3 linked regions of the Macaca mulatta genome follow. The protein of the gene in region 1 interacts with the protein of each later gene in a pairwise test. Links are inferred from orthologs where the notes say so. Each region holds a gene or a part of one and is shown in the gene's direction. Other genes may lie near its edges.

The links.
Region 2: the proteins of SALL2 (region 1) and ZMIZ2 interact in binary tests that used the Homo sapiens proteins (3 or more experiments, as listed by UniProt). The two-hybrid records come from large-scale screens. The link is inferred for Macaca mulatta from reciprocal best matches to the Homo sapiens genes SALL2 and ZMIZ2.
Region 3: the proteins of SALL2 (region 1) and CEP76 interact in binary tests that used the Homo sapiens proteins (3 or more experiments, as listed by UniProt). The two-hybrid records come from large-scale screens. The link is inferred for Macaca mulatta from reciprocal best matches to the Homo sapiens genes SALL2 and CEP76.

Annotation. Positions count from the first base shown.
Region 1 is NC_133412.1:94,382,480-94,386,105, reverse strand, and holds the end of SALL2 (sal-like protein 2), read left to right. Parts: coding exon 1-1,375; coding exon of another isoform or gene 1,376-1,504; exon of another isoform or gene 1,505-1,728; intron 1,729-1,958; coding exon 1,959-2,195; 3' UTR 2,196-3,122; downstream 3,123-3,626. UniProt on the Homo sapiens protein: Probable transcription factor that plays a role in eye development before, during, and after optic fissure closure.
Region 2 is NC_133408.1:83,668,822-83,671,128, reverse strand, and holds the end of ZMIZ2 (zinc finger MIZ domain-containing protein 2), read left to right. Parts: intron 1-533; coding exon 534-641; 3' UTR 642-1,686; downstream 1,687-2,307. UniProt on the Homo sapiens protein: Increases ligand-dependent transcriptional activity of AR and other nuclear hormone receptors.
Region 3 is NC_133423.1:83,353,251-83,356,903, reverse strand, and holds part of CEP76 (centrosomal protein of 76 kDa), read left to right. Parts: coding exon 1-116; intron 117-1,530; exon of another isoform or gene 1,531-1,707; intron 1,708-2,211; coding exon 2,212-2,545; intron 2,546-3,653. UniProt on the Homo sapiens protein: Centrosomal protein involved in regulation of centriole duplication. Required to limit centriole duplication to once per cell cycle by preventing centriole reduplication.

The DNA of each region.
Region 1 (3,626 bases):
CAATAAGTTTGTGCTCATGAAAGCAGTGGAACCCAAGAATAAAGCTGATGAAAACACCCCCCCAGGGAGTGAGGGCTCAGCCATCAGTGGAGTGGCAGAAAGTAGCACAGCAACTCGCATGCAGCTAAGTAAGTTGGTGACTTCACTACCGAGCTGGGCACTGCTTACCAACCACTTCAAGTCCACTGGCAGCTTCCCCTTCCCCTATGTGCTAGAGCCCTTGGGGGCCTCACCCTCTGAGACATCAAAGCTGCAGCAACTGGTAGAAAAGATTGACCGGCAAGGAGCTGTGGCAGTGACCTCAACTGCCTCAGGAGCCCCCACCACCTCTGCCCCTGCAGCTTCATCCTCAGCCTCTTCTGGACCTAACCAGTGTGTCATCTGTCTCCGGGTGCTTAGCTGTCCTCGGGCCCTACGCCTTCATTATGGCCAACATGGAGGTGAGAGGCCGTTCAAATGCAAAGTGTGTGGCAGAGCCTTCTCCACCAGGGGTAATCTGCGTGCACATTTCGTGGGCCACAAGGCCAGTCCAGCTGCCCGGGCACAGAACTCCTGCCCCATCTGCCAGAAGAAGTTCACCAATGCTGTCACTCTGCAGCAGCATGTCCGGATGCACCTGGGGGGCCAGATCCCCAATGGTGGTACCGCACTCCCTGAAGGTGGAGGAGCTGCTCAAGAGAATGGCTCCGAGCAATCTACAGTCTCCGGGGCAGGGAGTTTCCCCCAGCAGCAGTCCCAGCAGCCATCACCAGAAGAGGAGTTGTCTGAGGAGGAGGAAGAAGAGGATGAGGAAGAAGAAGAAGATGTGACTGATGAAGATTCCCTGGCAGGGAGAGGCTCAGAGAGTGGAGGTGAGAAGGCAATATCAGTGAGAGGTGATTCAGAAGAGGCATCTGGGGCAGAGGAGGAGGTGGGGACAGTGGCGGCAGCAGTCACAGCTGGGAAGGAGATGGACAGTAATGAGAAAGCTACTCAGCAGTCTTCTTTGCCACCACCACTACCACCACCTGAGAGCCTGGATCAGCCTCAGCCAATGGAGCAGGGAAGCAGTGATGCTTTAGGAGGCAAGGAAGAGGGGGGCAAACCGGAGAGAAGCTCAAGCCCAGCATCAGCACTCACCCCAGAAGGGGAAGGCACCAGCGTAACCTTGGTAGAGGAGCTGAGCCTGCAGGAGGCAATGAGAAAGGAGCCAGGAGAGAGCAGCAGCAGAAAGGCCTGCGAAGTGTGTGGCCTGGCCTTTCCCTCCCAGGCAGCTCTGGAGGAGCATCAGAAGACCCACCCCAAGGAGGGGCCGCTCTTCACTTGTGTTTTCTGCAGGCAGGGCTTTCTTGAGCGGGCTACCCTCAAGAAGCATATGCTACTGGCACACCACCAGGTACAGCCCTTTGCCCCCCATGGCCCTCAGAATATTGCTGCTCTTTCTTTAGTCCCTGGCTGTTCACCTTCCATCACCTCCACAGGGCTCTCTCCCTTTCCCCGAAAAGATGACCCCACCATCCCATGAGCCTGTTTTTCTGTACCTGCTGCTCTTTGTCCCACAGAGCAGAAACACCTTCACAAAAGGACCTCCCAGATTTATGAGCCCTGATTTTGTCTTTTTCTCTAAGTTCTTAACATATGTCCCTAGTGGCTTTTCTCTAGTCCCTGAGCTTGGAAATTACTGTGCTTACAAGGGGATGGCCCCCTAAGGAATTTTTCTTACCTCGTCATTCTTTGTACCTGAGGAAAATAGATTCTCTGCAGCTTTCTCAAGAGGAACCCTCTCCAGCTTCCCTGGTGTGACCCTTCTTTCCCCTCCTCTTTCCTCTCCCTTTCCCTTTGGCAGGTGCACCTGAGCACCTACATTTGGAATTGCAGCCTAGCCCAAAGGGCTGGCAGCTGTCTCTGAGGGCCCAGTGTCACTCCTCTGGGGTGACTTTTCTGCTCAGCTGGTGGGTGTGGGTCCCCTATCTTTCTAGAACCAGTATGTGGCATTCCTGTCAAGTGGCCTGCCCATGAAGCCCTGGAATTCCAGCTCCACCTCCACTACCACTCCAAGCCTGGCCCCACCAGTGCTGTTTGGCCTAGGAACTGTGGCTGGGAAGGTGCCTCCAACAATGGGATCCAGGGAAGCCAACGAGAAGACAGCTCCCCTCCTATTTCAGCCTCCTGCAACCAAGGCAGTGCCTGAGAAGCCCATCATAGACAAGAAGTAGCAAACTGTATATTCCTTTCCCCTCCCCCTCCTCCAGAAGGTGCCGGTACTGAAGATGCTCCAGTAATTGGTGACCCAACCCTAGGAAGTATGGAGAAATGAAGGGCATAGGAAAATTTTCCCGTAAATCCCCTGATGGTCACATTAAAGTAAAGGTGTTGGCTGGTCAGTGTGCCGAGACCTCTCCAGCTTCTCATTCATCATGGCCTCTCAAAGTCGGGAAACAAGCTGATTTCTTGCCAAGAGGTCTCCCAGGAGATATCTGGGAAATGTGAAGTTCATATCTTTAAGGGGCATTGTTGGTCAGCATGGTCGATGAAGTAATGATGAGAGAGTTATGGAATGTTGCTAAAACATAGGGCTTGCTGGTACCTATGTGACTAAGAAAGGGGCATGATGTAAGGGAAAGGGCCTCAAATTATTGTGAATGTGGACATTCTCGTTAATATTCTTTTGGGCTAATAGTGACATAGTGTGCAGAGGTGTTCCAGGGATCATGGGGGATTTCCTAGCACTAGTATGCTTCTAGTTTTAGATAACTCCCTCCTTTATTCCCTGGCCCCTTGTATTTTCCTTATCTTCCTCTTTCAAGACCCCTATCCTCCCCATTTTGCCTATCTGTAGGCTGGGGCCTGTGTCTTTGTCATTGTCTGGTTCTTAGAGTCCCAGACTTTGGGAGACCAGCTCCAGGTGGCATCCTCCCTGCCTCTCTGTCTTGTAATGAGATGTAGTATTTACTCTTAACATAGGATCATTTGGAACAGGAGTTCTGAGGAGGAGAGAGTGAGGATTTTGCTATTGACTGACTTGAACGATGGCTTCTCCTCAAGCTGTAGGCTCCAGAGCTTCCTCACCTAGTAAAATGTCAACAACAGACAGGGGAGATATTAGTGTCTTTCCCTCTATCATTAAAGGTGTTTTAACCAAATATTTATGTGTTTCTCCTTATTTCATGATTACATAGCCAGCTGGGGTGTGATATGGGCATTCTCCAACATTGAGATTCCCTTCCCACCTACATCTCCTGCCAAAGCTGAACATATGGTGTTGAAATATTTACTTTATTCAGCCTTGTCCTAAGACAGCCTTCAGTTAATGTAACTTCCCTGTGGAAATTGTTCCCTGTGGAGTTTGTATTTCCAAAAGGTAGGCATTTGCCCATTATGTCCAGTCATTGTCTAGATTTTTCTCTACCTAGAACCTTCCACCACCAGGCTTTTGTGTGGGTTTTGTTTGGAGGTTGGAAACTTTCTTTTCAGTCTTTTTCAAACCACAGATCAGCCTTCTGATATCAGTCAATCTGTAGAACCAAGGTGAATTAAACTTTATGATCCTTGAGATCTGATGTCATAATCAGAAAGAAAAAAAAATGTAATTCAACCCTAATAATTTCTACCAACAAGACAAAGGAGGATTCTTAGCATTAAGAATG
Region 2 (2,307 bases), on another chromosome or scaffold:
GAGTCAGATTTCATCTGTCCATTTGCTCAGTAGCCCTGGGCCTTGACTCACAGGTAGAATGGGAGTGCACACTCAGTACATGGAAGACAGGACTGACTGTCCCTGGACCATAATAGAAACTCATTGAAGTTCAACATGAAAAAAGTTAGGAAGAACAGCTCCAAGCAGAAAATCCTAGGGGCATGGAATTCCACCACCAGCATTCACCTTGGGGAATCACGGTGGGGATCCCCACGCAGGCCGGTGCACAGAGAATGTGTGGAGTGGCTGTGCTCCCTCACATCCCGTTTCCTGGTGGTATTGAACAGCATGTTGCGAGCTGTTCTGGCCTCAGCAGCCTTGCAGGGAGGTCCCGGGGGTGGCGTGTGCCTCCTTGAGCACATGCAGGCCTATAGTGGGGCCCCGCACCCAGCCTGTGTGTGGGGAGGGGCTGCTCAGCATCCCCACTGCACCTGGATGGGATGTGGTGACAGGATGGTCACTCAGGTGTGGCCAGTGACCAAAGCTGCTAACATAGTTCACTTTGTCCTCAGCTGCTCCCAGAACTGACCAACCCTGATGAGCTACTGTCCTACTTGGGACCGCCCGACCTCCCCACAAACAACAATGACGACCTGCTCTCTCTGTTTGAGAACAACTGATCCTGTGTTTACCCCAGGCCTGGCGGGGACACGCTCACAGATGTCACCACAGCCCTGCCCTTCATGCCCAGCCCCCTGAGACACCCGGTGGTCTCTCCCAAACCTCCCCCAAAACACACCTGGAGCCAGAGCCTTCTGCCGCCAGCCCTGTGCTCGATTGGAGGGGCTCCCAGCCCGGCAGCCCTCGCCACCTCCCTCTACCAAGCCTGCTGCTGCAGAACGGTTTTTGCTGAGGTGCCCCTGCCCAGCCCTCTCCAGCCTTGTCCACGCACACCTCACACCCCTGGTCTCACAGCCTCACACCTTGTCCTTCCACCCCTGCCTGCCCCCGCCCAGCCTGCTTCTTGTCCAGCATTGATCCTTCTGTTTCAACAACTCCTCCACTGGGCAGAGCTGGGCATCTGGCGGGGCTGGCTCTGTCCCCTGCGCCTTTGGCTCCAGTGGTCCCTGTGCCTGGCAGTCCAGCTCTTGGAACCTCGCTGAATGGCAGCCTCTTGGGGGCCTGGAGCTCTGGCAGCCCAGCCATGTGTCGTGTCGGGTTCCTCTCCCCACCCCAGCTTCAGGCAGAATCCTCGGGGTGGGGGAGCTACAAAGCACAACAATGTACATAGTGTAGAAACACTAACAGCTGGGAAAGGGGAGCCAGCTGTCCAGCCAGCATGTTCCTGTTGTACAGCCCGGTCTCCCTGTGCACTCTGCTCCTTCCCATGTGCAGACAGATCAGGGAGGAACCTCCAGTGGGTGGGGGACAATGAGCTTTGGCCCGGCCAAGGGGGGTGGGTGGGCTCTCAGATTCAGCTCTGTGTAAAGATTCTCTAGCGGGCTGCGCTCCCAAGTTCCCCGTTTCTGTGAAAGTGAAGAATTAGTACAGCTGTGTTTTTTAAAGCCACCTCTCCGTCTCCACCCCATGGTTCCACACCCAGGTGGGGAGGAGGAAGCCACTGCATCTGTTGGCTCAGGGCCCCAGCCTGTGCGAGCAGGGCGCCCGGGCTGTTGTGTCTCCTGTCTGTGCCGATCTCTATTAAAGGACTCCCTCTTGGTGGGCCTGGCCGAGTCCCTCCTTCATGCTCCCAGGGACTATTTTCTCCCCTGTAAGCCAGCGACCTGCCTAAAGCTTGGGCCTCTGTGCCTGCAAAGCCTGTGCAGGCTCTGGGGGCCGGGTCGACCTTCTAGTGGCTTTTGGGACCCCAGGTTGAGCTCTGGATGTTCCAAGCTAAGGCTCAGCTATTCCCGCCCCATAGTAAATTTCCTTTTCCCTGGAATTTTCCAAGTTGGCTTCAGCTGAAGAGCTATTTTGTGAAGCGTTCCAGGCTTGCCCAGGAGAGACATTTGCCACTATGTCACCTTATCTGGGCTTGCCCTGGGGCACTGAGCCAGCTGTTTGGCAGTCCCAGCCCAGCCAGGGGCTCCTTCTCAGCTCTTGTCCCTGGGAGGCCTCTGCTTGTCACTTACCAGAGATTGCAGAGGTGTGTCCTGCCTACCATCTGCCTGTCCAGCTTGGTGGGGGTCTGGGTCACCCTTTCCTCCTGTCCTGGGCCCCATCCTTGAGGGCCTTCCCAGCCAGCCAGCAGGAGAGGCAAGAACTGGGGGAACATGGGAACCTAGGGGAGGAGGGGAGCTCTGGGCATCCTCAGGCTGGCAGCCAAGGCCTGCCCCTTGAGGCACT
Region 3 (3,653 bases), on another chromosome or scaffold:
GGATTAGAAGCCTTTGTTTGTGTTGGGACCAAGGCAAAAGGAGTACCTCATGCATGGGTTATGACTTGTGGAACTGATGGGACCATCACTTTTTGGGAGAGTTTAACAGGACACAGGTTAGTCTACTAAGTGTATAAGGATATTAAAATGAAGTTATAAGTTTTTTTTTTTTTTGAGACGGAGTCTTGCTCTGTTGCCCAGGCTGGAGTGCACTGGCACAATCTCAGCTCACTGCAACCTCCACCTCCCAGGTTCAAGCCAATTCTCCTGGCTCAGCCTCCCAGTAGCTGGGATTACAGGTGCACGCCACTGCACCTGGCTGATTTTTATAATTTTAGTAGAGACAAGTTTTCACCATGTTGGCCAGGCTGGTCTCAAACTCCTGACCTCAGGTGATCCACCCACCTCAGTCCCCCAATCACGCTGGGATTACAGGCGTGAGCCACCGTGCCCAGCTTAAGTTTTAAGTATTTTAAATTATAAGGGTTTTTTGTCCATATTGATGGTACTTGAAGGTACGTGTTGATGATTTTAGTTAGAGCCTTTTTAGTGATTACGTAAAAAAGTACTTCAATTATGGCAGCTAAGTAAATGAACTCTAAGAAAATTTTTACCTCAAATATTCTTTACCAACATGATGTTCGTAAACAGTAAATTATATTTACTAGTTGTGTATGATTAGCATCTTTTTTTTTTCAGTTTTCTCTCTTTTTTTTTTTTTTGGCAGTGTCTCACTCTGTTGCCCAGGCTGGAGTGTAGTGGCACAGTCACAGCCCACTGCAGCATCCCCTTCCTGGGTTCCAGTGGTCCTCCTACCTCAGCCTCTTGGGTAGCTGGGACTGCAGGTGTGCACAGCCATGCCTAGCTAATTTTTTTGGAGGGATGAGGTTTTGCTGTGTTGTCTGGGCTGGTCTTTAATTCCTGGGCTCAAGCAGGCTGTCCGCCACGGCCTCCCAAAGTGCTGAGCCACCACGCCTGGCCGGCATATGTTTTTTTCTGATGATCATCCCTAAGCCTGAAAATAAGTTCAAGTTGTAAATCATTATTTCTTTTTAAAATTTGATGTGGTTACCATCTCCATGTTGGCAATCCACTGGACACATTTTTTGAAGTACTTTAGCCTGTCATCAGATTTTGAAAGAGCTGAGTACCTCTGTTGTAGGACTTCCTCCTTAGTTCAGCTAAGAGCTGGATCTTTGTCACACTGCCACGAAAAATTAGGCTCGTAGGCAATTTGAAGGGGGAGAAAAATGGAATTTATTGGACAAAAAGGAAAAAAACTGGGAAACAGGGACCCTCCACAAAGCCAGAGCGCCCGCTAGTGTGCTTCCCGCCTCGCAGATTCACTTCCAGGGTCCACTCAGGAAGAGGAGGGGCCAGGCTCCTCCCCACTGCAAATTGCTGAACTTGTGTGGCTCCACCCCAGTGTACGCTCCTCCCAGTGCACAGGCTGGTTGGAGTTTCTCTGGGGACCCCTTTCCACCTGGCTGTCTCACTTCTCTTCCTGGGATATTCTCTTTCCTTAGCTTATTTCTTGTAATTGTCTTTCAGTATTCATTATTCCTCTCTGGCTGTTCGCAGTTTTTCCTTCATCTTGTCTTCAAATGCATGTGTTCTAGAGGCTTGGCCATGGGCCCTCTTCATTTCCCTGAGTCCTTTTTCTCCCTGGTTGATAATCATGCACAGTGATGTTTTGGTTAGTTGTGCCTAAAAATGCATAACCAGATTATTTTAATTATGTTATCTAAAGCAAACTTTTTTGATTTTTTTTTTTCTTGGAGACGGAGTTTCACTCTTGTTGCTCAGCCTCCCAAGTAGCTGGGACTACAGGCACGCACTCCCACGCCCAGCTAATTTTTGTGTTTTTAGTAGAGACAGGGTTTCACTACGTTGGTCAGGCTGGTCTCGAACTCTTGACCTCAAGTGATCTACCTGCCTTGGCCTACCAAAGTGCTGGTATTACCGCACCCGGCCTTTGATCTTAACAGTATACACAGAATGTATTCTGTTGTTTAGAGTTGGTTTCAGTATTGTAAGATGTACCATACAATTAATACAGAGTAATCAAATTGTGGAAATAAAGAAAAAAAAGTATTAAACTCTAGTTCTGAAAAAGTAGTTATGGCCTTAAGTGTTAGAATAATTTTCTCAGTAAGATGCTGCCTTCTTAATTTTTAAGTTCTCATATGTAAAATTATTTAATTTTTTTAGGTACATCCATAAACCTGCCAATCCTGATGAACCTCCAGTTGCTGAACAGCCCAAACCACTGTACCCATATCGAACGATTGGTTGTGTTTTCAACCATCAGATGTTCCTGGGAAACTGTCAACCGTCTGATGCAGTAGAAACCTGTGTCTTTGATTTGAATGATGAATCCAAATGGAAGCCCATGAGTGAGGAAGCAATTAAATCTGTGTGTGCTCCTGGAGCTACAACATCCCTTCCTCCCTTTCCACCTCTGTGCGCGTCCACAATCGACGCGTCAGTAACAAGCAATGACATTGAGATGCAGCTGAGGCTCCTAGTGTCAGAGCACAGGAAGGTAATTCACACCGAGACCGTTGTGGTTTCCTACTTCTTTTCATTTGTGTATTGTTGTATTTAACTCTTTTCTGGTGTGTGTGATAGTGCCAGTCACTATTCTAGACCTGAACAAAACAACTATAGTCCCTACTATTATGAACCTTATAATTTTGAAAGTCGTGAAAGTTTAAGTTCTGAGACTCAGAAATCTCCAAATTAATTAATACTTACAGAATGAATTACTTCCTCTTAGAAATGAAGAATGGTGAACCTGTTCACATCCCTTAGAGTCAAGATTTTTGCTGAATACCACTATTTGGATTTCCTCTTTGTGAAATGCTTATTCACATATTTGCCCCTTTAAAAATCCTGGGTTAGGCTGGGCTTGATGGCTCACGCCTATAATCCCAGCACTCTGGGAGGCTGAGGTGGGTGGATCGCTTGTGCCCAGGAATTCAAGACCAGCCTGGGGAATATGATGAAACACTATCTCTATTATTTTTAAAAGAAAAAATATGTATACTGGGTTATATTTTTTTCATATTCATTTTTCTCCCCAGGTTGGTTCCTGTTTGTTTTCATATTATACTCAACTAAGTAGATGTCTGGCTTTAATCTGCATTTCCCTGATTACTTATGAGATCAAGCCTCTTTTATTTTTATTTTTATTTTTTATTTTTAAGATGGAGTCTCTCGCTCTGCCACCCAGGCTGGAGCGCAGTGGCGTGGTCTTGGTTCACTGCAACCTCCACCTCCCAGGTTTAAGCAATTCTCCTGTCTCCGCCTCCTGAATGACTGGGATTATAGACATGTGCTACCATGCCGCCAATTTTTGTATTTTTTGTAGAGATAGGGTTTCACCACGTTGGCCAGGCTGGTCTCGAAGTGATCTACCTGCCTCAGCCTCCCAAAGTGCTGGGATTACAGTTGTGAGCCACTGTGCCCAGCCAGATCAAGCCTCTTGTCAAATAGCATGAAGATTTCCTTTGTAAAGTGCCTTTAAGAAGATATAAAAAGTATTAAGTCATAAAGGAAAAGATTATATCTTAAAGACTTAAGTTCATCAAAAGAAAACATTAAGAGATTGAAGCTGTGGGGTGGGAAAAGTTATTTGTAACACGTATCAC